Arabidopsis thaliana: one gene and its partners. The protein of the gene in region 1 interacts with the protein of each later gene in a pairwise test. Each region holds a gene or a part of one and is shown in the gene's direction. Other genes may lie near its edges.

Region 1 (7,476 bases):
ATTACGAAAATGACAACAAAAAAAGGTAAATAATATAAAACAGTGACATTTTAAATTCTAGATAAAGACTCTGTTTTTTTTCTTCTTTAATGTATCAATATCGTTCCGTATAGACGCTTTAATGTGCAAGTATGTAACTCTAACAACCTAATTTTCACTTTGACATTTAGGCAAAAGTAAAATTAAGGTTGTACTTGGTAAAATCTTGATAAAGAGATTGAAAGAAAGGAATGTGGGCATGAAAATGAAAAAAAAAAACTAGATAAATTGTGAAACTGTTAAATTCCCTAAATTTAAGGAAAGTAAGAATGGACATGGGCCGTCCGATCAGATATGTGACCTAAGATGGCTGAGAGAGTAGTTGAATGGCTGGGGTTCAATCTCTGTTGTACACGTGGCTTTATACTACTCGTTAAAATCCATGATCTTCGAGATTTTTCTGACACTCTTAAGTTTTGGCAACCGGCTAAAACCAGTCGGAATGTTCATTTGACCTACCCCACTCAATAAACATTTCCAAAGAAAAAAGAGATTCGTATGGACACAAAGAATAGATATTTTTAGGTCATTTTCATTTTTTCGCCCGTAACCTGTGTTAAGAACATAATACGTTGTTACGTACATTTTATTTCTATTTTTAATAAACAATAATTTCCTTTGATTGTAAAAGAATCCCCCTTTATTGGCTTTTGTTCTTTCCTATGTCTTCTTGTACTCAAAATATATTTTGTTTTAGACTTTCGAAATTATCCATTTTGGAAACCTATCCATTTCTTTGTTGATCTCTTTGTATCACATTGCTCTCAAGCTATGTAGTAGTCTTAGAGATTTAGACAATACTAATGAATACAAGATACCATAAGATTTGATACAATATGTTTGTGTTATCAACGTTTGATCGGATATGTGTTTTTTTTCTACTTATAGCTATTCATTCAATGAAAATCTAAAAGAAAATTGAGACACAGTTGATGCAGAGATAATTTTCTCTAGCCTTGATAGATTTTTACAATGTGATATTGTAGGAACTAGGAAACACATGCTTCATTTTTATTTAGGCCATGAATGTTTGTAGTTTTTAAAATGGTTTTTGGATTTTGGATTTTGGTTTTTGGTTTTTAGTTTTTGATTTTCTTGGTTTTTGTTTTTGGTGTAGATTTTAGTTTCTTAAAAAACTTGAATGGTAATTTGTTTAGATTTTGGTTTTTATGTTAATGGATAGTATTTTTTTTACAAAACAAATCTAAAAATAAAATAAAAAATGTGATCGATTGTTTTTGAGAGAGAAACTCCCAAAACATAGATTTTGGTTTTCTTTGAAAAATTGTTAAAACACTCAAAAACTAGATTTCCTATATTTTAGGAAAACTTGTTTTCTCAAAATCTTGAATGGCTACAAAATAGATTTTAGAAAAAATTAAAACCAAAAACTAGTTTAAAAACCACACTCATTCAAGGCCTTACTAAAACTTGGCTACAAACAAGGCGAAGATAACATACATCATTCAATTTCAATAGTAATTAATGTGTCAAAACCTTAGAAATTAAAACAAAATTTCATCACTATGTCCAGTAAGAAAAACTAAAGCTATCAAACCTGATGTTAGTGATTTTTTTCCCCATCATCTTTAACTATTTTCCATACACATTCGTTTTTGTAATAATAACAACTTCTTAAAATGATATAACTTTTGTTACTTTATGCATGTAATTGTTGATTATAGCTAGCTTCTACACCTTTTTCTAACATGTGACACATTTTTTTTTACATGTGACACATTTGTTACGTTGGTTGGATACTTGTTATCCATATAAATCAATAAAAAGTCATATTATTCTATCTCACTCTTTTAAGTCTTTACAGATTTTTGTTTGTGAGGAGGACGTAGCTGCAAATATAGGACCCGCCATTAAATGAAAACAAATGCTTTGTCTTCAAAGCTATGAATATGTGACTTCAAAGTGTTTTTTGGTTTTTATGTGTCTTCAAAGTTGTGAATATAATAGTGTAGATTCGCTTTTCTTTACCAATCTTTGTTTGCAGATTAATAATAAGATATACTATATAGGATACAAAAACGAATTTCGTTTGATTCATTCTATAAATTTGAATTACTAAATCACTTTAGTTGAGTTTGTTCAAGGATAAAAAGTGAAACCCCAATTAAATTTGATGATTTTCAGATGTGTTTACAAAATGTTTCGAAGAACACGCTTCAAATTGATTTAACCAAGATGAACACATCCATTAAATCCTCATTCCATGAACAAAATGCACCTCATTGTCCCTAGGCCTTAACAGATCTATTTAGTACTAATACTGTATTTAATAACTTATCTTGGTAAAGAAATCACAGAAAAGCTTAACACATACAGTTTAAACCGTAAATTTATCATAGTAAAACTGTAAAAGCACTAATCATAAATTTAAACCAAGCTAATAAAACAAAAACAAGTAGCACGTTTTTACTTCAAACCGGAAACAGGCAAAACCGGTATCAAATTGCCGAGAAAGATGGAAGGAATAAATAAATGTTAAAATGTTCCTTTGTTGCCACTAACCCACAGGCTTACGTCCCATCATCATTCCCCGTTCTCTTTTTATTTTCTCTAATCGCCGACGATTATCTCTTTCGTCCGGCGATAGCTATTTTGTCTCTTCAAATCCCCATAGACCAATACTCAACTCTTCATCTCCATGTCTCCTCAATCTCATTTCTCTCCTTAGTGATTGAGCTTTTTCCTTCTTTCTCTTTGGTTATTATTCCTTCTCCTCCTCCGTCGTGTTTTTGATTGATTTCAGAATCTAAATCTCCGTTTGATTTCTCCATACTCGTGCTGATTTTCACCTATGTAATGTGATTTATGAGCTCTGTTTATTTCAAATCGACGGCGATCGTTGAATTTATTGATCAATGTGTAAGTAAGAGCTTGAAGAAATAGTTTTTGTTGTTGTTGTGAAAGCTCAGAGTTTTGTTTGCTTTTTTGTTGACTTTTTTGAGATTGATGCTGGATCTCAATCTCGACGTCGACTCGACCGAGTCTACTCAGAACGAACGAGATTCGATTACTGTTAAAGGGGTTTCTTTGAATCAGATGGATGAATCGGTGACGTCGAACTCTTCTGTTGTTAATGCTGAAGCTTCTAGCTGTATAGATGGTGAAGATGAGTTGTGCTCTACACGAACGGTCAAGTTTCAATTTGAGATACTGAAAGGAGGAGGAGAAGAAGAAGAAGAAGATGATGATGAAAGAAGTGCTGTGATGATGACTAAGGAGTTTTTTCCTGTTGCTAAAGGCATGAACTTTATGGATTCGAGCGCTCAAAGTTCAAGGAGCACCGTTGATATTTCCTTCCAGAGGGGGAAACAAGGTGGAGACTTTATAGGTAGCGGGAGCGGTGGTGGCGATGCTTCACGGGTGATGCAGCCACCATCACAGCCGGTGAAGAAAAGCAGGAGAGGTCCTAGGTCTAAGAGTTCTCAGTATAGAGGCGTCACTTTCTATCGGAGGACAGGCAGATGGGAATCGCATATCTGGTATATCTACTACTGATTGATTTATCTTTTAGATAGGTCTTAGATGAGTTGTTGATCTTTGGTCGAAAATGGAAGAGCTTGGTTTAGATTTTGTATTAATCTACAAGTTTCTTTTTTGTCAATTTTCATGGTTGCAGGGATTGCGGTAAACAAGTTTATTTAGGTATGGATTCTAATGGCTGTACTACTGTGAACTGATTTCTGCTGGGATCTTAGTTCTCTAATAAAAGCTTTAACTTTTGAATTCAATAGGTGGATTTGATACTGCCCATGCTGCAGCTAGGTAATGCCTTTGGAAATGATATTTTTTTGTTTGATCTTATTGATCACTCAACTGTTTTTTCGTTATGATACAATTGTTTCCTAAGTTCAACTTTCGTTGGTGTAGGGCGTATGATCGAGCTGCTGTCAAATTCCGGGGTCTGGAAGCTGACATCAATTTCGTTATTGGCGATTATGAAGAGGATCTCAAGCAGGTTTTGATTACAGATGTACAAATGAAGACATGTACGCTTTGATTTGTTCTTATCTGGTTTTCAAACTTTACAGATGGCGAATCTTTCCAAAGAGGAAGTTGTGCAAGTACTTCGGCGACAGAGCTCTGGTTTCTCAAGGAATAATTCTAGATATCAAGGAGTTGCTTTGCAAAAGATTGGCGGGTGGGGAGCTCAAATGGAGCAGCTTCATGGAAACATGTAATTAACTTTTCCTGGGATCTAAGTATGGGCTTTTACAAATGCTATGTTATTTGTGTTTTTGTCTGAATGTGGTTGTCAGTCATTGCTAAAAAGAGTGGAGTGGTTCAGATGAAGAGTTTGGTAATTTTTCGTTAGTTGAAAAGGGCTTCTGTTAGAACCATTAGCAGGAAGACCCGTTTGTGATTATGAGTTATATATAGAGATTTTGATGGCTATGAGACATTTATATCTATCTTGGGATGATTGTCATCTGAGTATGAGCTGTACGCTAGTGATGGTTGTAAATTACATTATGAGGAAGTCTTTTATCCTGAATTATTGATCTATTAGGAAAATTCATGACTAATTGCTCAGATTCTTATGGAATTAGGGGTTGTGACAAGGCAGCCGTACAATGGAAGGGAAGGGAAGCTGCTTCCTTAATTGAGCCTCATGCATCCCGAATGATTCCCGAGGCAGGTAATGTAATTGATGTTCCTTGCTTGTTAAACTGGTCGATGCTATGCAGCTTTTGCTGTCATCATTGATATCTCTGCTCAATATTTGAAAAGCTACGACTAACTTGTTTTCCTGATCTTATTATTTAGCTAATGTTAAGCTCGACCTCAACTTGGGAATCTCTCTTTCACTAGGAGATGGTCCGAAGCAAAAAGATAGGGCCCTCCGGCTTCACCATGTCCCTAACAATTCCGTATGTGGAAGGAACACCATGGTGCAATTTTTTCTTCAGTGCACCAAATATGATTTACTTTACTTTCATATGCGTTTTGCTGCAACTGTTAGTCAAATGTTTCTTTGTCGATATGTCATAGCAATCTGGAACTCAAAGATACTGTCTCCTTTGCTAGCTCGAGCCCTCATGTTTTTTCATTTATTCATGAATTTCTTGCTCTTCATTTGATATACTCACAGATGGAGAACCACATGGCTGCAGCGGCATGTGATACGCCTTTCAATTTCTTGAAGAGGGGTTCAGACCATCTTAATAACCGGCATGCCCTTCCTTCTGCGTTCTTTTCACCCATGGTAAATAGTAAATACCATAGCACACATCTCGTTATATCCAACTGTTTGTCACTGCCTCACAATTTTTACCTTCTGTCCAGAACTAACATACAATATGAAATAGAATGACAATTTTAAATTTATCGAACTTTACCCTACCTATGAGTAATTTGTGTGATATGAAATTCAGCTAGATGTTCATCAAGTGGTTACTGTTGTGATATTTGATCAGTTAAGTACTTGAGCTCAACTCTTTGATATCCTTTGAGAACAGGTCTATGTTGTTGCTTGTTAGTTCTTCTTCTATGTTGTGATATTCTTGAAGATTTGAATGAATAATCTTCTGTCCTAAAAGTTAAATTCTTGTCTCCAGGAAAGAACACCAGAGAAAGGGCTTATGTTACGTTCTCATCAAAGCTTCCCAGCCAGGACATGGCAAGGGCATGATCAGTCCAGTGGTGGGACCGCCGTAGCAGCTACAGCACCGCCACTGTTTTCAAATGCAGCATCATCAGGATTCTCACTCTCAGCTACACGCCCTCCTTCATCCACAGCTATTCATCATCCTTCTCAGCCCTTCGTCAATCTGAATCAGCCCGGTCTCTATGTTATCCACCCATCTGATTACATATCTCAGCACCAACACAATCTCATGAACCGCCCACAACCACCACCATAGCTTCCTCCTTCCTCCGCATAACTCAAGGTAAGACTTTCTTGGAAACAACAACATTCAACTCATCGTTTGGCTCAGCACACAAGCTGTAGTTTCCTCTTCCTGTTATACGTTACGTTTACAATCCAAAAGAAAAAAAAAAAAAATTTTGATAGAAGACCACTAAAGAAAAAGAGTTTGAGATGTTTGTATTCATATGAATCTTGATGGAAACATGAAAAGTATGATGAATGCTTAGCGAATAGAAGAAGACTAAGGAAGAGTTCCAAGTTGTGTAGTATTATCACCCTCCTGTTTTCTGCTTCTCTGTCAATCTCAAACACATATTTGAGGCAATAGTTTTCCTAAGATCCTACAATACTACACGTAATAACATACTTTGTATGTGAACGTGCAGGTTCTACACAGCCCTGAGGTTGGAATAAGTTGGAAGGCCAGCCAAAACGACGCTGAATTCTCCCAAGATCTGTTGTACTTATTGTCATTGTGTGATTTATCTTTCTGCTTTTGATTTGTAACATAAACTGAGGGATAATACCAAAACAGAACCCAAACCCATTTGCCATTTTACTATAATGTCTCTGATATTAATATGAACAGCGTAAAGTACAATGCATTCTATATGTATGAATGAAGAAAGCTATTGAGACTTGAGAGACTATAAATTTGTATAGATCTGATAAGTTTTAGAAATTAAAAACTCTTACATTAATTCAATACACCACAATAATCTTGATTTAACTCCAAAACACGTAACTAAAGACAGAGAGATGGAGAGAGAGAGAGAGAGAGAGAGATATAAATAATCATCCACTGATAATGTGAATCTTGATTGTTTGAACCAGGTTATTATCACCAGTCTTCTTGATCTCAAATATCATCTTATCCGTTGTCTTCACTTTATTCCTTCTGATGATACTGCCAAATCCCTTGACAAACACACTACCATTTGTCTGAATCTTGATCTGCTTCTCCAATGTCCCGAATTTTTTCACAAGTGGATCGACAAGAGTGATACTCTCAGGGAAGTGCAAGTCATAGTCTTTGATAACCCGAGCTGGGATGAGCTGCTTTATGAAAAAAAACATCATAAAAACTCACAACCCAACGATGTTAAATGAAAAGCTCTTTCACATTCAGTTTTTACTTACCAGTTGGCTTTTCTTCTTCGGATTAAGGATCAGAGTAAAAGATGGGTTCTCACGATCATCCAGATACTGTCTTTCATCTTCATCATCATCATCAGCCTTAGCATGATCTCTAGAATCAAAAGCCTCAACATAATCATCATCTTCAACAGGAACATCATCAGCAACATTATCAACATCTTCATCATCAGCATCATTATCATCTTTCTCGACAGCAGCTTCATCAGCATAATCATCACTATCATTGTCTTCACCACAATTATAATCAGAATCGTCATCATCCTCATCAAGAGATAAAACATCATCACTGGCCTGATTTTGTTCATCACTATCAGATTCCACTTTGATCTCCTCGCTTTGATCTGAACTTCTTCTTATCTTTTTACACATTGTCCTATGCTCATAGATAC
Region 2 (6,189 bases), about 20 Mb from region 1:
GTGGAAGAACTCAGACTCAGAATTAGTGTTGTTTATGTATGTATATAAAGAAGTTTTGAGAAAGGGAGCTTCATTTTGAAGGTAGTGTGCTTCTATTGTGTTGGGGATGTTTATAGTTCTTGGGTTTGGTATCTGCAGTATATTTGTGAACTGTGAAGTAGTTCGAGTTGCACATGAATGAAAACTAAAACATCTCAGTTGATTTGAGATTCTCCAAATTTGATTATTACTTTGTCCAAAACAAAGACTATTCTAAACTTACATGGATTCACAGGCTTAGATCCAGCACTAAAATTCGGCATGTGATACCTGGATATCAAAAAACAACATGAAGTTCCTGTCTCTTTCAAAAGAACAAAAGTTACAAAATGTTTAAAAAACATTACATCACACAAGAAGTCAGCACTTTTGTTTACCAGTCACCAACTCAACAAGCAATAACCAACAGAGATAAACAGAGAAGCTTTGAAGTTCTAATCACTATTGTAACCACCATCATCGTTATCCTTATCTTCGTGGTCCTTCACCACTCGTTCTATGAACTGTCTTCGAACTCCAGCCATCACAGCTTCCCTCGAGGAGTCATCGTCTCCTCCTTTGCCATCGTTAAGAACTGGCTCTGATTGACACAGAAGTAAGGCTACACCTGAAAAACCAAATCAGTTGCAAGTATGTTAGACATGTGCCTAAGACCAATCTGCTCAAAGCATGATACAATCGCCAATGTGGTCACATCAGGTCTCAGATCAGACAAAGGCTAGAGATGAGACATGACATAATCATCAAACACAAATAAGCACAGATTACATCAGACAAACAAGGGTTCATTCAAACTTACTCTCTGGGGTGCACCTACGGCCAAAGCTCTTTAAGCCTACATGAGTTCCTTTGATGGCGCCATGGTGGTACACCAGCAAGGTAGGAAGATTGCAATCAGGGTAGTTCGGAATACAATCAGTAGATATTATCTTAACGAACTTTGTTGCTGGGTATCTACTACCCAATTCGTCTAGACAACCCAATAGCAAACTACATTCTGCAACACTATCAGAGAACAACAAGAAATAAACATGAGTTAATAGTGTTTCAAGCATGTAGTAAAGAATGGCTCAACAAGAGTTCACGAATACTTGAAAAAACATACCCATCTTTATAGAGACATACAACAACCCAATCTTCAGCAGAAGCTTGCGTAACCTCCCTCACGAAATCAGAGCCCGAGATGGGAGTCACTGTTCCATATCTTTTAACTTTAGCAGCCTCTCTTAGCTCAGACAACCTCTTCTTCCTATGAAAGCATCAAAACACATTAGTGCCTGTGAATCATGAAGTGTGTTGCACAATTATGTTTAGCCTATTCATCAACATCTCAAATAAGATACTACCCTCAATTGCATTCATATCCAAAACACAAACGAATCGAGAAAAACCAGAGCTTGATAATTGCATTCCCTAGCTACATGGCAACAGATCCGAGAAAATTGAATTCACAATCCACCAAGGCAAGGATTCTCCAGGGAAAGTTAAGATTGTAAATACAAAAATCAGAATGTTCGATTCGATCTACGAACCTGTATTCTTCGAGAAAGCGATCATCGTCGAGATCTTTGTCGTCCTCAAGATCCTCAAGCTCCTCCTCTGTCTTCTTATCAAACCATGCCTGATCCTTAGGAGCTGAAGACTCGTCTTCCGCCGGAGTATACGCCGGAGGTTTGAAAGCCGGAGCCTTCTCCGGTAGATTCCCCAATTTCCGCTGGATATCATCCCATTGAGTTGACGCTCCTTCAATGTCCTTATACACGAAATGATAATCCGCCATCAAAGTATAACCACCTACGAAGCTTCAAAGAGAACCTTTGAATCTGAGAGGAGAAAAAGCAGATTGCTTTGACACTCTGTGATCGCAATCTCGTTCTTTCTCTGGAAAGACGAATGATAAAAGGCCATCCCCGAAATTGGTCTGGCTAAACCGACAATTACCATCTGGTACATTTCGAACCGGGAATATTTGGTTTAAAAGCCGGTTAGATATTGGTTTATTATTCTAGAGTAATGTATTAGACTCTTAACCGTTCGGAGGGTTCGTATATATATTATGAGAGCATGTATTTTTATGGAGAAGATCCAGAGATAATTAAACAAACAGTTTAGCAAAAGATTTTGAGAGGGAGAAAAAGGGCGATCGATTAGGGTTTTTGTGTTTTCGTCTTAGTATCGAAGATGATCGGAGCTGTGAACTCGGTGGAGGCTGTGATAACGTCAATCCAAGGTTTATCGGGGAGTCCAGAGGATTTATCTGCACTTCACGATCTTTTGAGAGGAGCTCAAGACTCGCTCCGAGCCGAACCAGGTGTTAATTTCTCTACTCTTGACCAGCTCGACGCCTCGAAGCACTCTCTCGGTTACCTGTATTTCCTGTGAGTTTTAACCTATTGGTAGATTAGGTTTTTGTTACTAGTTTGTGTATACTTTGAGGCTGATTGATGATTTTGGTTATTGGAACTTGATGTGTGTGATTAGGTCGAAGTTTAACAAGGAGAATTGTCTATGTTATTCGATTTCTGATCTTTGAGTTTTTTGTATGGTTTGATTGTTACAGTGAGGTTCTTACCTGTGGTCCAGTGTCGAAGGAGAAAGCTGCTTATGAGATACCGATAATTGCACGGTTCATCAATTCTTGTGATGCTGGGCAGATTCGTTTGGCGAGCTATAAATGTAATTTACTGACACTTAATGAGAGCTTATCTTGTCTTAATGTGTTTTCTTTTCTTTTTTCTTTGGGGAGATGGATGATGTTATTATATTGATTTTGCAGTTGTATCTCTTTGTAAGATATTGAAAGACCATGTTATAGCACTGGGAGATCCGTTGCGAGGAGTAGGGCCACTGTTAAACGCTGTTCAGAAGCTTCAGGTCTCCTCCAAGCGTTTGACTGCATTGCATCCAGATGTTCTTCAACTCTGTTTGCAGGCGAAATCGTACAAATCTGGTTTCTCCATTCTTAGTGATGATATCGTGGAGATTGACCAGCCAAGAGACTTTTTTCTCTATAGCTATTATGGGTAAGCAATTTTTCCTCATTGCTATCTGTTTTTTTCCTTTGATCAATAGATGTGTAAACACATTAAATCCATCCCTGTTGGGTTTGTTTTATAGTATTTTCTTATTCTGGTCCTTGATTACCTGGACTTTTGATAGGGGAATGATTTGTATTGGACTGAAGAGATTTCAGAAAGCATTAGAGCTTCTTTACAATGTAAGGCATTTTTATTTTTTCTTACGTGCTTTTTATACATTAAGGACTTTCGTTTTAGTTTTAACTCAACCTAAGTACTTGTATCAGGTTGTGACTGCTCCTATGCATCAAGTCAATGCCATAGCTCTTGAGGCGTACAAAAAGTACATATTGGTGTCTCTCATTCACAATGGGCAGGTAAGGCTGTGTTCTTTATATTTTACTTTCTTTGTTTATCTAGTTTTCGGTCATGGGAGCATATTGCACGAGTCTGAATCAACTGTATGTTTTTGAGAAATGTTGGTTTCACAATTACATCCTGTGTCTGATTTTAATTTCAAGCATTGGTTAATCTTATGATGTTTTTCTTATAATCTTGTTTGATTTTACTTGTGCAGTTTACTAACACTCTCCCCAAGTGTGCTTCTACAGCAGCACAGAGGAGCTTCAAGAACTATACCGGAGTAAGTTTGAACCCGATCATTAGTTGTATTTTTCATGTTTGAATGGAGTCTGGTCCCTTTTTCACTTCAGTCCAAAGATTTCAGTTGTTTTGTACTCCATACCAGCTAAATCTATTTTCAGGCTTATGATTTTATCGTTCACCCTTTTCTCAGCCTTACATTGAACTGGGTAATTGTTACAACGACGGGAAGATTGGTGAACTAGAGGCATTGGTTGTGGCCAGGAATGCAGAATTTGAAGAGGTAAATTGCCTCTAAACATTTACCATAGTTTCTGTACCAATATTAAATATTCATCCCCTTCCATAACTTGGGCGAAATGCTCTTTCAGGATAAGAACCTTGGATTAGTTAAGCAAGCAGTGTCATCCCTTTACAAGCGTAACATTCTGAGATTGACACAGAAGTACTTGACCCTGTCGCTTCAAGATATAGCCAACATGGTCCAACTTGGTAATGCTAAGGAGGCGGAAATGCATGTGCTTCAGATGGTATTGTGTCCCACACTTGATTTTTGGAAGCTAGCTTTATTAGTTTAACTGGTATGTTGGACAATATCATTTTTTTCTTTACAAACCTGCAGATCCAGGATGGTCAGATACATGCCCTTATCAACCAGAAAGACGGGATGGTCAGATTCTTGGAGGACCCTGAGCAGTACAAATCTAGTGAGATGATTGAGATCATGGATTCTGTTATACAAAGGTATGTCTACAGAACTAAGTGTTTTGATATGGTTTTTTTTTGGGAAACATTGCTTGAATGTTGAAACTCGTAATAAGGAGTGCATAATTAGCACTTGGAATCAAGTTGATATGGAGATGACTGTTTTGCCAAAGGAAAGTAGTAGCATCAAACAAGTTATGTGTTTTGATAAAAATTTCAGGACTATTGGTCTGTCGAAGAATCTCTTAGCCATGGATGAGAGCTTATCATGTGACCCTTTATACTTGGGAAAGGTAATTTAATACCATATTCCATTAGTCTTCTGTCCTGGAAACCCATGTTTCTCTGACTAAGCCGTTTGACTACTTTTTTTCAGGTAGGAAGGGAAAGACAAAGGTACGACTTTGGAGACGATTTCGATACTGTTCCTCAGAAGTTCTCCATGTAAACAGCGAAAGTCGAGAAGCACCAACAAAACTTGGCTCAAAGACAACCGTAGTGTGAATCTTGAGAATGTTACTTTTGATTTCTTTGTTCATTTTTGTTGGTTTAAAAAGTTTCATATTTTTGTCACAATTGCCAACAAGTAGAGAAGACCATTATGGACCCTCAAATCTTTTATTTCCCTTTTACTTAAAAAATTTTCCCCTTGCGCGTGTATCTCTCGTGCTAACTTACGCGAGCGTTTTATCATTTGCAAGGGTTAGAGAAGTCTCAACGGCGTCGTATCAAACTCGTTTTTAACTGCGTGTCGTTTGGGGAATCTGATAGACTCCTTGTTGTGGTGGGCTAGTTTCAGGCCCATTCTCGCTAAGCGCCACGTAGATTTTTATTTCTTTACTCATTTTTTATGTCGCATCTTCCCCATTTCGTTTTCAACCTGATTTCTCCATTTCCCTCTCTTATCCTCAATGAAAAAAATAATCTGAGAAAACGCAAAAGAAGAACGGAGCAAAATCCTCAGAATCGTCGCCGGAGAATCTTTACGTTTCGACATAATCGGAATTTTGGAATTGATAATTCCGATGGAAGGGGTTATCACATGTTTCCATACGAAATGCGTCTCTCTTCCAATTCGTTCTTTCCCACTTTCTAGGGTTTCTTCACTTCCTCGGTGGAGGAACAATAAATTGATCTCTTCATCGCGATCGGTTCATCTAAGAAGCTTGTGCGTTTCGAGCTCAGATACTTTAGTCGCGAGCGGTTCACCAAAGGAAGACGAGAGGCAGAGCAAAGTATCGAGCAAGAAGGAAGGAGATGACTCCGAGGATTTGAAGTTTTGGATGGATAAGAATGGGTTGCCACCTTGCAAGGTTATTCTCAAGGAGAGACCAGCTCATGATCAGAAGCATAAACCTATACATTATGTTGCTGCTAGTGAGGATCTTCAGGTGGTTGACTTAGCATTTCAACAGTTTTATTTGCTTATACACAGTTCCATAGGGTATTCCAAGTATCAATTTCCGGGTTTTGATGGTAAATTTTTCCTAATTACCTGTCTTTTACAGAAGGGTGATGTGGCGTTTTCAGTTCCTGATTCTCTGGTGGTTACTCTGGAAAGAGTTTTGGGAAACGAGACTATTGGTATGAGACATTCTCTATTATGTTTCCTATTCCATAAAGCTACTTCATCAGTTATGCACTATAATATTTGGATTAGACTTTGTGATTTCTCTTAGATAAGGGTGGGATTACGGGTGTTTTGATTCTTGTCTGAAGCCATATAAACTCTCTTTATCACACAGCTGAACTGTTGACGACGAACAAATTATCCGAACTGGCTTGTCTAGCTTTGTATTTGATGTATGAGAAGAAACAAGGAAAG
Region 3 (8,604 bases), on another chromosome or scaffold:
CAATACCGAGAGCATATATATTCTTTTAATGAAGGGAAACAACTTAACAGGATCTATGTCAAGGCAGCTCTGTGATTTGAGAAATATCAGACTTTTAGATCTTTCAGATAACAAGCTCAATGGCTTCATACCTTCATGTCTATATAATTTATCATTTGGACCAGAGGATACAAATTCATATGTAGGTACAGCCATAACGAAGATTACTCCGTTCAAGTTTTACGAATCCACATTTGTGGTAGAGGATTTTGTGGTAATATCCTCTAGTTTTCAAGAAATTGAAATCAAATTTTCAATGAAGCGAAGGTATGATTCTTATTTTGGAGCAACTGAATTCAACAATGACGTACTTGATTATATGTATGGAATGGACCTATCAAGCAATGAGTTAAGTGGGGTTATCCCAGCAGAGCTTGGAAGTCTCTCAAAGCTACGAGTCATGAATTTATCTTGCAACTTCTTGTCCAGTTCAATACCATCTAGCTTCTCCAATCTCAAGGATATTGAGAGCCTTGACCTTTCGCATAACATGTTACAAGGAAGTATTCCTCAACAACTAACCAACCTTTCTTCTCTTGTTGTCTTTGATGTGTCTTACAATAATTTATCCGGAATCATTCCCCAAGGAAGGCAGTTTAATACCTTTGACGAGAAAAGCTACTTGGGAAATCCTCTTCTTTGTGGACCACCGACCAATAGAAGTTGTGATGCTAAGAAGACCTCAGATGAATCAGAAAATGGAGGAGAAGAAGAAGATGATGAAGCTCCTGTTGATATGTTGGCCTTCTATTTTAGTAGTGCTTCGACTTATGTAACTACATTGATAGGCATTTTTATACTTATGTGCTTTGATTGTCCTTTGCGTCGAGCATGGCTCCGCATTGTCGATGCTTCCATCGCCTCAGTCAAAAGTATGTTGCCTTAAAATCATTTCACTTCAGTTTTTACGTACCATTGTGTTTCTATAACTATATTGCTTTGGATTTTACCTGACATGGTTAATAATAATGTGTGCTTTGGATTTTACCATACACGGTAATGAGTCGTATGGAAGAATTATTGTGTACGATCGATAGTTTTTTTTGACAGATTTATTCTTTTAGTGATAGAGAAAAAAGTAAGTAACAATTTTTTTTTAAGAGATATATATTTGGTAACGACAGAGCTGTTTCTTTCAATGGATTTATTTTTCATAGCGACATAGTTAATGTAACAAATTAATGACTAAAGTAGCACAACATTGACTCTAGACTTATTCTACGTCCTAGTAAATTTGTTAATTAATGGAATCAACTTTTAGAAATAGTTGTGACATAGTAAGTCCGTATTGGCTGTGATAGACTTGAGTCTGATTGAAATGGGAAAACGTTGATATGAAAGTGGTGACAAACTTAATATCACCAAACTAAATTACTAACTCTCTCATAACTATGAATATAACTGTCACAATTACAAGTATAACTCTATCATAACTCATAACTATATATGGTTAAATGAGTATGTAACTAACTATAGTTCACAAGGGTAATATATATAGTAAATTCTTGATTGCTAGATGCAGGAGGGTAAACTTGAACTTTGTTGTGGTATCTAGATACTTTCGGACAAATAACGTATAGGTGATGAAACAAAGTGCATATCTTATTGTACAGTTTTAGACTTTAATTTGGATAACCCTACTCATTGCCAAGGTTATTATCGTTTAGGGATATGATTTTGCAAAGATAATTCTCCCAATAGAAACTTAGGAACTTGCCGAGTTCTAAATTTCTAATGAAGAAAACCATATCTCATAAAATTTAAGAATTTGTGGCTTATTGTGTTAAGTTACTAAATCCTAGAGATGAATGCTTAGTTTGGTAATAAAAACCAAGAAAATCTCATTACGTCACTTTGAGACCACAACTAAACCCGTTTGAACAAAGTGGGTAAAGTAAATCCGGCCCAATAAAGCCCATTTATTTCCAAGAGAATAATAATTAGAAACCGGAGAGACTTCACGGATAGGGTAAAAAAGAACTCAGAGGTTAATCGGAAAAATAAATATTTGGGGTGAAGAGAAGCTTCTTCTGCTCAATCATGTCTAACAACTTTGGTGACAGCTAAAGAAAAACTAAGTTAGAAGAATATTTAGATAACCTTCAAGCTCGAGACCACTCGGATCTCTCTCTAATCGCCGATCGGAATCCGCCATGGGAGTACCGGCGTTCTACAGATGGCTCGCTGACCGATACCCGAAGTCAATTAGTGACGTCGTTGAAGAAGAACCTACCGATGGAGGTCGTGGTGACCTTATTCCTGTTGATATCACCAGACCTAACCCTAACGGCTTCGAATTTGATAATTTGTATCTCGATATGAATGGTATCATTCATCCTTGTTTCCATCCTGAAGGAAAGGTATGTTGTAGCTCAGAAATGTTTGGTTAGGGTTTGAGTTGATTTGTTGTATGAGAAATGAAATCAATGAGTTTAGTAGTTTGGTGGTGGAGAAGATTATTGTTGTCTGTATTCGTAGTTTAGTACAGTTATGAGAGAAGGAGAAGTATACTAGTTGTTGCTTTTCCTCGATTTTGCTTCCTGCACGTCAATGGAAGCGATGGCCAACTTGGTGATACTAGACGTAGGGTATCTAACTTTTCTGAAGTGTATGATTAGAGTTTGAGTTGATTGTATTAGGCAGTAACAAGTAGACATGGATCGTATGAGAAATGAAATCACTAAGTTTGGTATTTTGGTGAGAAGATGATTTTTTTTTGGTGTTCATAATTTAGCTCTTTTATTGGGGAAGGGAGGAGTGTACTAGTTGTTGCTTTCCGACTATTTTTGCTTACCGAAAGTCAATAGAAGCAATGGCCATTTTTGTGATACTAGATTTTGGGATCTAAAGTTCAGTTCAGAAAGTGATTTAGATATATTATTTGGGAAATTGGATGCTTATGGCTGTGTGTATTTTGTTCATGTATCACTTATGCGAGTCTAAAGTCAGTTTTTTTATAAAAATAGTTGACTAGAAAATTAAAAGACACTGATGTTATTAGTTTTTCATTATAGTTGAGGAGATATTATCGAAGGGAGTGAGTTTGCATAGCAATACGTGTTATGGTGATACTTGATTTCCATTAAAGATTTTACTAGCTAATCGTACTTTGATTACAATGCAGCCTGCACCTGCCACGTACGATGATGTATTTAAATCAATGTTTGAGTACATTGACCATCTTTTTACTTTAGTGCGTCCGAGGAAGATTCTTTATTTGGCTATAGGTGATCTTGTGTTTCCTTTTTATCATCTGTCTGTTTTGCTCTGTGAGATGTGGTTGATTAAATATACTGTTGCAGATGGAGTTGCGCCGAGAGCAAAGATGAATCAGCAGCGTTCTCGACGTTTCAGAGCTGCAAAGGACGCAGCAGAGGCTGTATGTTCTCTTTGTGTTTCTATTTTTACATTTACTCTTGGCTTTACATGGGTCACTGTTGCTTATACTATTTCTGGTTTAATAGGAAGCTGAGGAAGAGAGGTTGAGAAAAGATTTTGAGATGGAGGGCCAAATCTTGTCCGCTAAAGAGAAAGCTGAAACCTGTGATTCAAATGTCATTACTCCTGGGACCCCTTTTATGGCTATACTGTCAGTCGCTCTTCAGTATTACATCCAATCTAGGTTAAACCATAACCCTGGCTGGAGATATGTTAAGGTGTGATACTGTTTCATCTAACTTAGCAGCTATTTCCAAACTGTACAAGACTTTTCGCATTCTTGCAGTTTCTCTTTTTTTTTTGGTGTTGTCCCTTTACTTTTGGTTTTAAAGGTAATTTGTCTCCCTAAGAAGTCGTGGATTATTATTTGAAGGTAATTCTTTCTGATTCAAATGTTCCGGGAGAAGGAGAACACAAGATAATGTCATACATTCGTCTCCAACGTAATCTTCCTGGTTTTGATCCAAATACACGGCATTGTCTATATGGTCTGGTTAGTGTCAACCCATAATGTACTTGTTTTATTTTCTTAAATAAGGTGTTGGTGCTTCGTCCAAAAATTTGCACATTACATTTGCCAACTGTATATTATTATGCAGGATGCAGATTTGATAATGCTCTCCTTAGCTACACATGAAGTTCACTTTTCCATCTTAAGAGAGGTAGCTGATTTCCACCCCTACGCTCTATATTTTCTTTGATATTCAGTTGATCAAATGATGGGTCATCTTTTTGATTCCAGGTTATCACTTACCCTGGGCAGCAAGAGAAATGCTTTGTGTGTGGACAAACTGGCCACTTTGCTTCAGATTGCCCTGGAAAATCAGGTAGCAATAATGCAGCAGCTGATATTCCAATCCACAAGAAAAAATATCAGGTTTGTAGTTTTCCTTGTTATCTCCAAGAGATCTTGCTGCAGTGAACAACAGAAAATTATTTTATTTTACTTTTGGAGCTTTCTCTTATTTGTCTGATGTAATTTTTTTTTTGAAAATAGTTCCTGAACATTTGGGTGTTGCGAGAATATCTGCAATATGAATTGGCCATTCCAGATCCTCCTTTTATGATCAACTTTGAGAGAATAATAGACGACTTTGTATTCCTTTGCTTTTTTGTTGGTAATGACTTCCTACCTCATATGCCTACACTGGAAATTCGAGAGGTATGTACATGGTATAGCTTTTTATTCCTTAAAGGATTGGCTGTTCGTAAAGTGATGGTTGTGTAGATTAGAAAATATAGTAATAGCCTTGTGGAAGATAAATATCCTGTTTCATGCTCTACAATACCACTGAGGCACTGAAAAATTAGTCTGTTTCTTTAAACCAAGTTTCTTTGTTACTTCAGGGGGCTATAAACTTGCTGATGCATGTTTACAGAAAGGAGTTTACAGCTATGGGAGGCTATCTAACAGATTCTGGTGAGGTAAGTTATTGTTTCTTTTTTTAATCTTCTCCCACATTTCATTCTCGCTTGACATTGCTCAATACCCTATTTTGTATGAGCTGTAGAAATGGTCAGTTATCTTGTGGAAACTATTTTCTCGCTTCTATTTAGTCTGGCTATATGATTACTAATGAAAATCGGAACTGCATTATATCTGTGGGCTTCATTTCTTTTAATCGTTAACCCATTGACAACTTCTTTTTTTCTCCATTGATAGGTTTTACTAGATAGGGTAGAGCATTTCATTCAAGCTGTCGCTGTAAATGAAGATAAAATATTTCAGAAAAGAACGCGGATAAAACAGGTAATCTTAACCTTTACCCTATTTTCCTACACAACCCTTTGGAGGCTTTAGGAACTGTGCTCACACCCTTATGAGGCTAATGGTGTGTTGATGTTGGTATCAGTCAATGGATAACAATGAAGAAATGAAGCAAAGATCTAGAAGGGACCCATCTGAGGTACCACCTGAACCGATAGACGATAAGGTAAAATAGTTTACTGCAAAGAACTCTTATATGTGCCTGTGAGCTGGAGAGATTCTTATATATTTATTGAAAAGGAAATTAGTGTAGGAGGAACGACTAAAACTGCTCTTTCATTTTGGGTAGATTAAATTAGGAGAACCAGGCTACAAGGAGAGGTATTATGCTGAGAAATTTAGTACGACCAATCCAGAGGAAACTGAGCAAATCAAACAAGACATGGTGAGTTTTACGTCAATTAACGCTCTCTGTCACTCTTCTGAATCTCTAATGATTTGTTATAATAAGTCTAAAGTTGGAAAAAGGTATCTTTTGGCGATGTGCTACTTTGATTATGTGTGCATTTAGACTTTTTAACATCCTATTAACTCCCTCATGTTGAAAATTTCTGCCCACGGAATTTAGCTCTTAATATTTTCACAGTTCTTTTTTTTTCTTTTATGGAGGCTTATAGCGCGATATGAACTACTTCATTGAAGTGACTCTCAAAACAGTTTGGAATTGGATGAACAATAACTAGTTATCTATTCTGATCATTCATTACCTATTTTCGTTGTAGGTACTGAAATATGTTGAAGGTTTGTGCTGGGTTTGCCGGTACTACTACCAAGGTGTATGCTCTTGGCAATGGTAAGTCTGACTTTACAAAAACTTAATGTCATGTTATTCCCATGAGAGCCATGCATTCTAACAAAAACTTGGTCTCTTCTCGGGAAAGACCTTGATGTTGATGTCACTTACTGAGAAATACTAAGCTGCAAATTTTAAATGTAATTTTGTGTTTTCTTACACTTTCTTCTAATTGTTTCAGGTTTTACCCATACCATTATGCTCCATTTGCTTCAGATCTTAAGAATCTACCTGATTTAGAAATCACATTTTTTATTGGAGAGCCCTTTAAACCTTTTGACCAGTTAATGGGAACCCTGCCGGCTGCAAGGTTCTTCCCTTTTTTTGGAACCTTAATTATTAATATTGTGGGCCTCTATGGTGATGTAAATTGTGTTTCTTGGTTGTTGCAGCTCAAATGCGCTGCCTGGAGAATACCGGAAGTTGATGACTGATCCCTCATCCCCGATACTTAAATTTTACCCTGCTGGTAATTGTTGATACTGAATTTGTATTGTTGTTTTCCTATATATTCATGCTGGATAGTTGACACTCATAAGCTATCATTCTATTTATAGATTTTGAGCTTGACATGAATGGAAAGCGCTTCGCCTGGCAGGTTCATGGTTGTTTGTATTCTTTGGATATAGTATTGATGTTATCATGCTGAGACTGTGTATTTTGTTCTTCAGCTGTTGATGTTGTGTGTTTTGCGCTTGTTGTTATCTAGGGTATTGCAAAACTTCCTTTCATTGAGGAGAAATTATTGTTAGCTGCTACAAGGAAGCTTGAAGAAACTCTAACGGTTTGAACTGAACCTTGACTCGAAATGCATAATGTTTGATCAAAACTTTATTCTCTCCAAAGGAAACTATAATTCTTTCTGAAAGATGATTCTTGGACCTGCAGGATGGTTTATTTGCTAGTTATAAAGTAGTTTTATAGCTTAGATTGCTCTAGCCATCAGTTTTCATGGCAGTTTATGATTAACTACAATATGGATCCATCTTTCAGGTGGAAGAACAACAACGCAACAGTGTGATGCTTGATTTGTTATACGTACACCCCGCTCATCCACTGGGCCAGCGGATTCTGCAGTACTATCATTTCTACCAGCACATGCCACCACATGAATGTCTTCCATGGATGATTGACCCGAATTCTAGGTTTGTTTTTATTGGCTAAATTGATAACTAACAAGCTGTGTGTACTCTGGATATCGAGCTTGTTCTTAATCATCAATTCGTTTGTGTTTGTTGCAGCCAAGGAATGAACGGTTTTCTTTGGTTTAGTGAAAGGAATGGTTTCCAAACTAGAGTGGATTCCCCTGTCAATGGTTTGCCATGCATTGAGCAGAACCGAGCCTTGTGCGTTTCTTGTACTTCACAAGTTAGTGTTCATGAAATTGATGAAGTCTTGATTTACTCACTTATATTTTCCTCTACATTTTCCAGAAATGTTACATACCTGTGTCCTGCCAAACACTCTCATATCTCAGAACCACCCAGAGGAGCGATCATTCCGGACAAGGTATGATTCCTCAAAGGAATTCGTCATGAACAGTAGTCCATCTCTACTGCATCAAAATAAATAGAAACTTAGGTTTTTATAGCGTTTATGAGAATCTACTTGCTTGCATCTCAAATGTCTATGTTTTCTTACCAGTCTATTTATCTGCTGAATATTCATTGCAAAACAAGTGTTCTTATGAAAGTTCAATTGGCAGATCTTGACGTCAGTAGATATAAAGCCATTTCCTCCTTTATGGCATGAAGACAATAGCAACCGACGCCGACAAGCCCGAGATAGGTAAGGAGATTTTACTGCAGACTGATATTTTGAAGATCATAGTGTGAATTATGTTAAAAGAACCATATGGTATATCTATTGTGCAGGCCGCAAGTGGTTGGAGCTATAGCAGGGCCTTCTCTGGGAGAAGCAGCTCATCGTCTGATCAAAAACACCCTTAACATGAAATCCTCTACTGGTGCGGCTTCGGGATTAATTGACCCAAACGGATACTACCGAAATGTACCGGGTAATTATTCTTATGGTGGAGTCAATAGACCAAGAGCACCGGGTCCGTCTCCTTACCGGAAAGCTTATGACGATGACTCGAGCTATTACTATGGAAAGTATAACAATAGCACACAGGGAACGTTTAACAATGGTCCAAGATATCCTTATCCATCAAATGGGTCACAAGACTATAACCGGAACTACAACTCCAAGATAGTAGCAGAACAGCACAACCGTGGTGGACTTGGAGCTGGAATGTCTGGTTTATCGATAGAAGATAACGGCAGAAGCAAACAATTGTATTCAAGTTATACAGAAGCTGCTAATGCAAATTTGAACCCGTTGCCATCACCCCCCACCCAATGGATCGGTACACAGCCAGGTGGTAATTTTGTCGGTGGATACTATAGGGATGGAGTTGGGTACAGTGAAACAAATGGAAAATCGGTAAAGAAAGTAATTTACCAGGCCAAGACACAACCAAGTCATCGAGGTGCAAACTTGTGAGATATTAGTTGAGGCGCATAAGGAGGTTCTTCTGTACAGGTGAGTTCCTTTCTTTTGCTGC

Evidence for each region.
Region 2: the proteins of TOE2 (region 1) and COP13 interact in binary tests that used the Arabidopsis thaliana proteins (3 or more experiments, as listed by UniProt).
Region 3: the proteins of TOE2 (region 1) and XRN4 interact in binary tests that used the Arabidopsis thaliana proteins (3 or more experiments, as listed by UniProt).

What each region holds. Positions count from the first base shown.
Region 1 is NC_003076.8:24,205,147-24,212,622, forward strand, and holds TOE2 (target of early activation tagged (EAT) 2), read left to right. Parts: upstream 1-2,542; 5' UTR 2,543-3,006; coding exon 3,007-3,539; intron 3,540-3,676; coding exon 3,677-3,702; intron 3,703-3,791; coding exon 3,792-3,822; intron 3,823-3,927; coding exon 3,928-4,015; intron 4,016-4,088; coding exon 4,089-4,234; intron 4,235-4,607; coding exon 4,608-4,696; intron 4,697-4,824; coding exon 4,825-5,015; coding exon of another isoform or gene 5,016-5,138; exon of another isoform or gene 5,139-5,149; coding exon 5,150-5,263; intron 5,264-5,432; exon of another isoform or gene 5,433-5,615; coding exon 5,616-5,921; 3' UTR 5,922-5,948; exon of another isoform or gene 5,949-6,315; 3' UTR 6,316-6,597; downstream 6,598-7,476. Other genes in the region: AT5G60130 (AP2/B3-like transcriptional factor family protein), read right to left, coding at 6,725-6,985, 7,070-7,476.
Region 2 is NC_003076.8:4,595,750-4,601,938, forward strand, and holds COP13 (Proteasome component (PCI) domain protein), read left to right. Parts: upstream 1-2,118; 5' UTR 2,119-2,220; coding exon 2,221-2,417; intron 2,418-2,599; coding exon 2,600-2,715; intron 2,716-2,815; coding exon 2,816-3,062; intron 3,063-3,198; coding exon 3,199-3,256; intron 3,257-3,343; coding exon 3,344-3,433; intron 3,434-3,633; coding exon 3,634-3,699; intron 3,700-3,852; coding exon 3,853-3,942; intron 3,943-4,030; coding exon 4,031-4,189; coding exon of another isoform or gene 4,190-4,237; exon of another isoform or gene 4,238-4,281; coding exon 4,282-4,403; intron 4,404-4,584; coding exon 4,585-4,657; intron 4,658-4,740; coding exon 4,741-4,812; 3' UTR 4,813-5,086; downstream 5,087-6,189. Other genes in the region: AT5G14230 (ankyrin), read left to right, coding at 1-26; AT5G14240 (Thioredoxin superfamily protein), read right to left, coding at 474-646, 839-1,044, 1,145-1,288, 1,572-1,819; AT5G14260 (Rubisco methyltransferase family protein), read left to right, coding at 5,390-5,755, 5,873-5,948, 6,110-6,189. UniProt on the Arabidopsis thaliana protein: Component of the COP9 signalosome complex (CSN), a complex involved in various cellular and developmental processes such as photomorphogenesis and auxin and jasmonate responses.
Region 3 is NC_003070.9:20,348,108-20,356,711, forward strand, and holds the start of XRN4 (exoribonuclease 4), read left to right. Parts: upstream 1-2,001; 5' UTR 2,002-2,192; coding exon 2,193-2,399; exon of another isoform or gene 2,400-2,589; coding exon of another isoform or gene 2,590-2,622; intron 2,623-3,163; coding exon 3,164-3,266; intron 3,267-3,341; coding exon 3,342-3,418; intron 3,419-3,503; coding exon 3,504-3,695; intron 3,696-3,850; coding exon 3,851-3,970; intron 3,971-4,076; coding exon 4,077-4,139; intron 4,140-4,219; coding exon 4,220-4,354; intron 4,355-4,474; coding exon 4,475-4,639; intron 4,640-4,824; coding exon 4,825-4,902; intron 4,903-5,140; coding exon 5,141-5,227; intron 5,228-5,330; coding exon 5,331-5,411; intron 5,412-5,534; coding exon 5,535-5,630; intron 5,631-5,967; coding exon 5,968-6,038; intron 6,039-6,219; coding exon 6,220-6,348; intron 6,349-6,430; coding exon 6,431-6,507; intron 6,508-6,595; coding exon 6,596-6,636; intron 6,637-6,747; coding exon 6,748-6,822; intron 6,823-7,031; coding exon 7,032-7,183; intron 7,184-7,279; and 8 more. Other genes in the region: AT1G54475 (LRR receptor-like Serine/Threonine-kinase), read left to right, coding at 296-925.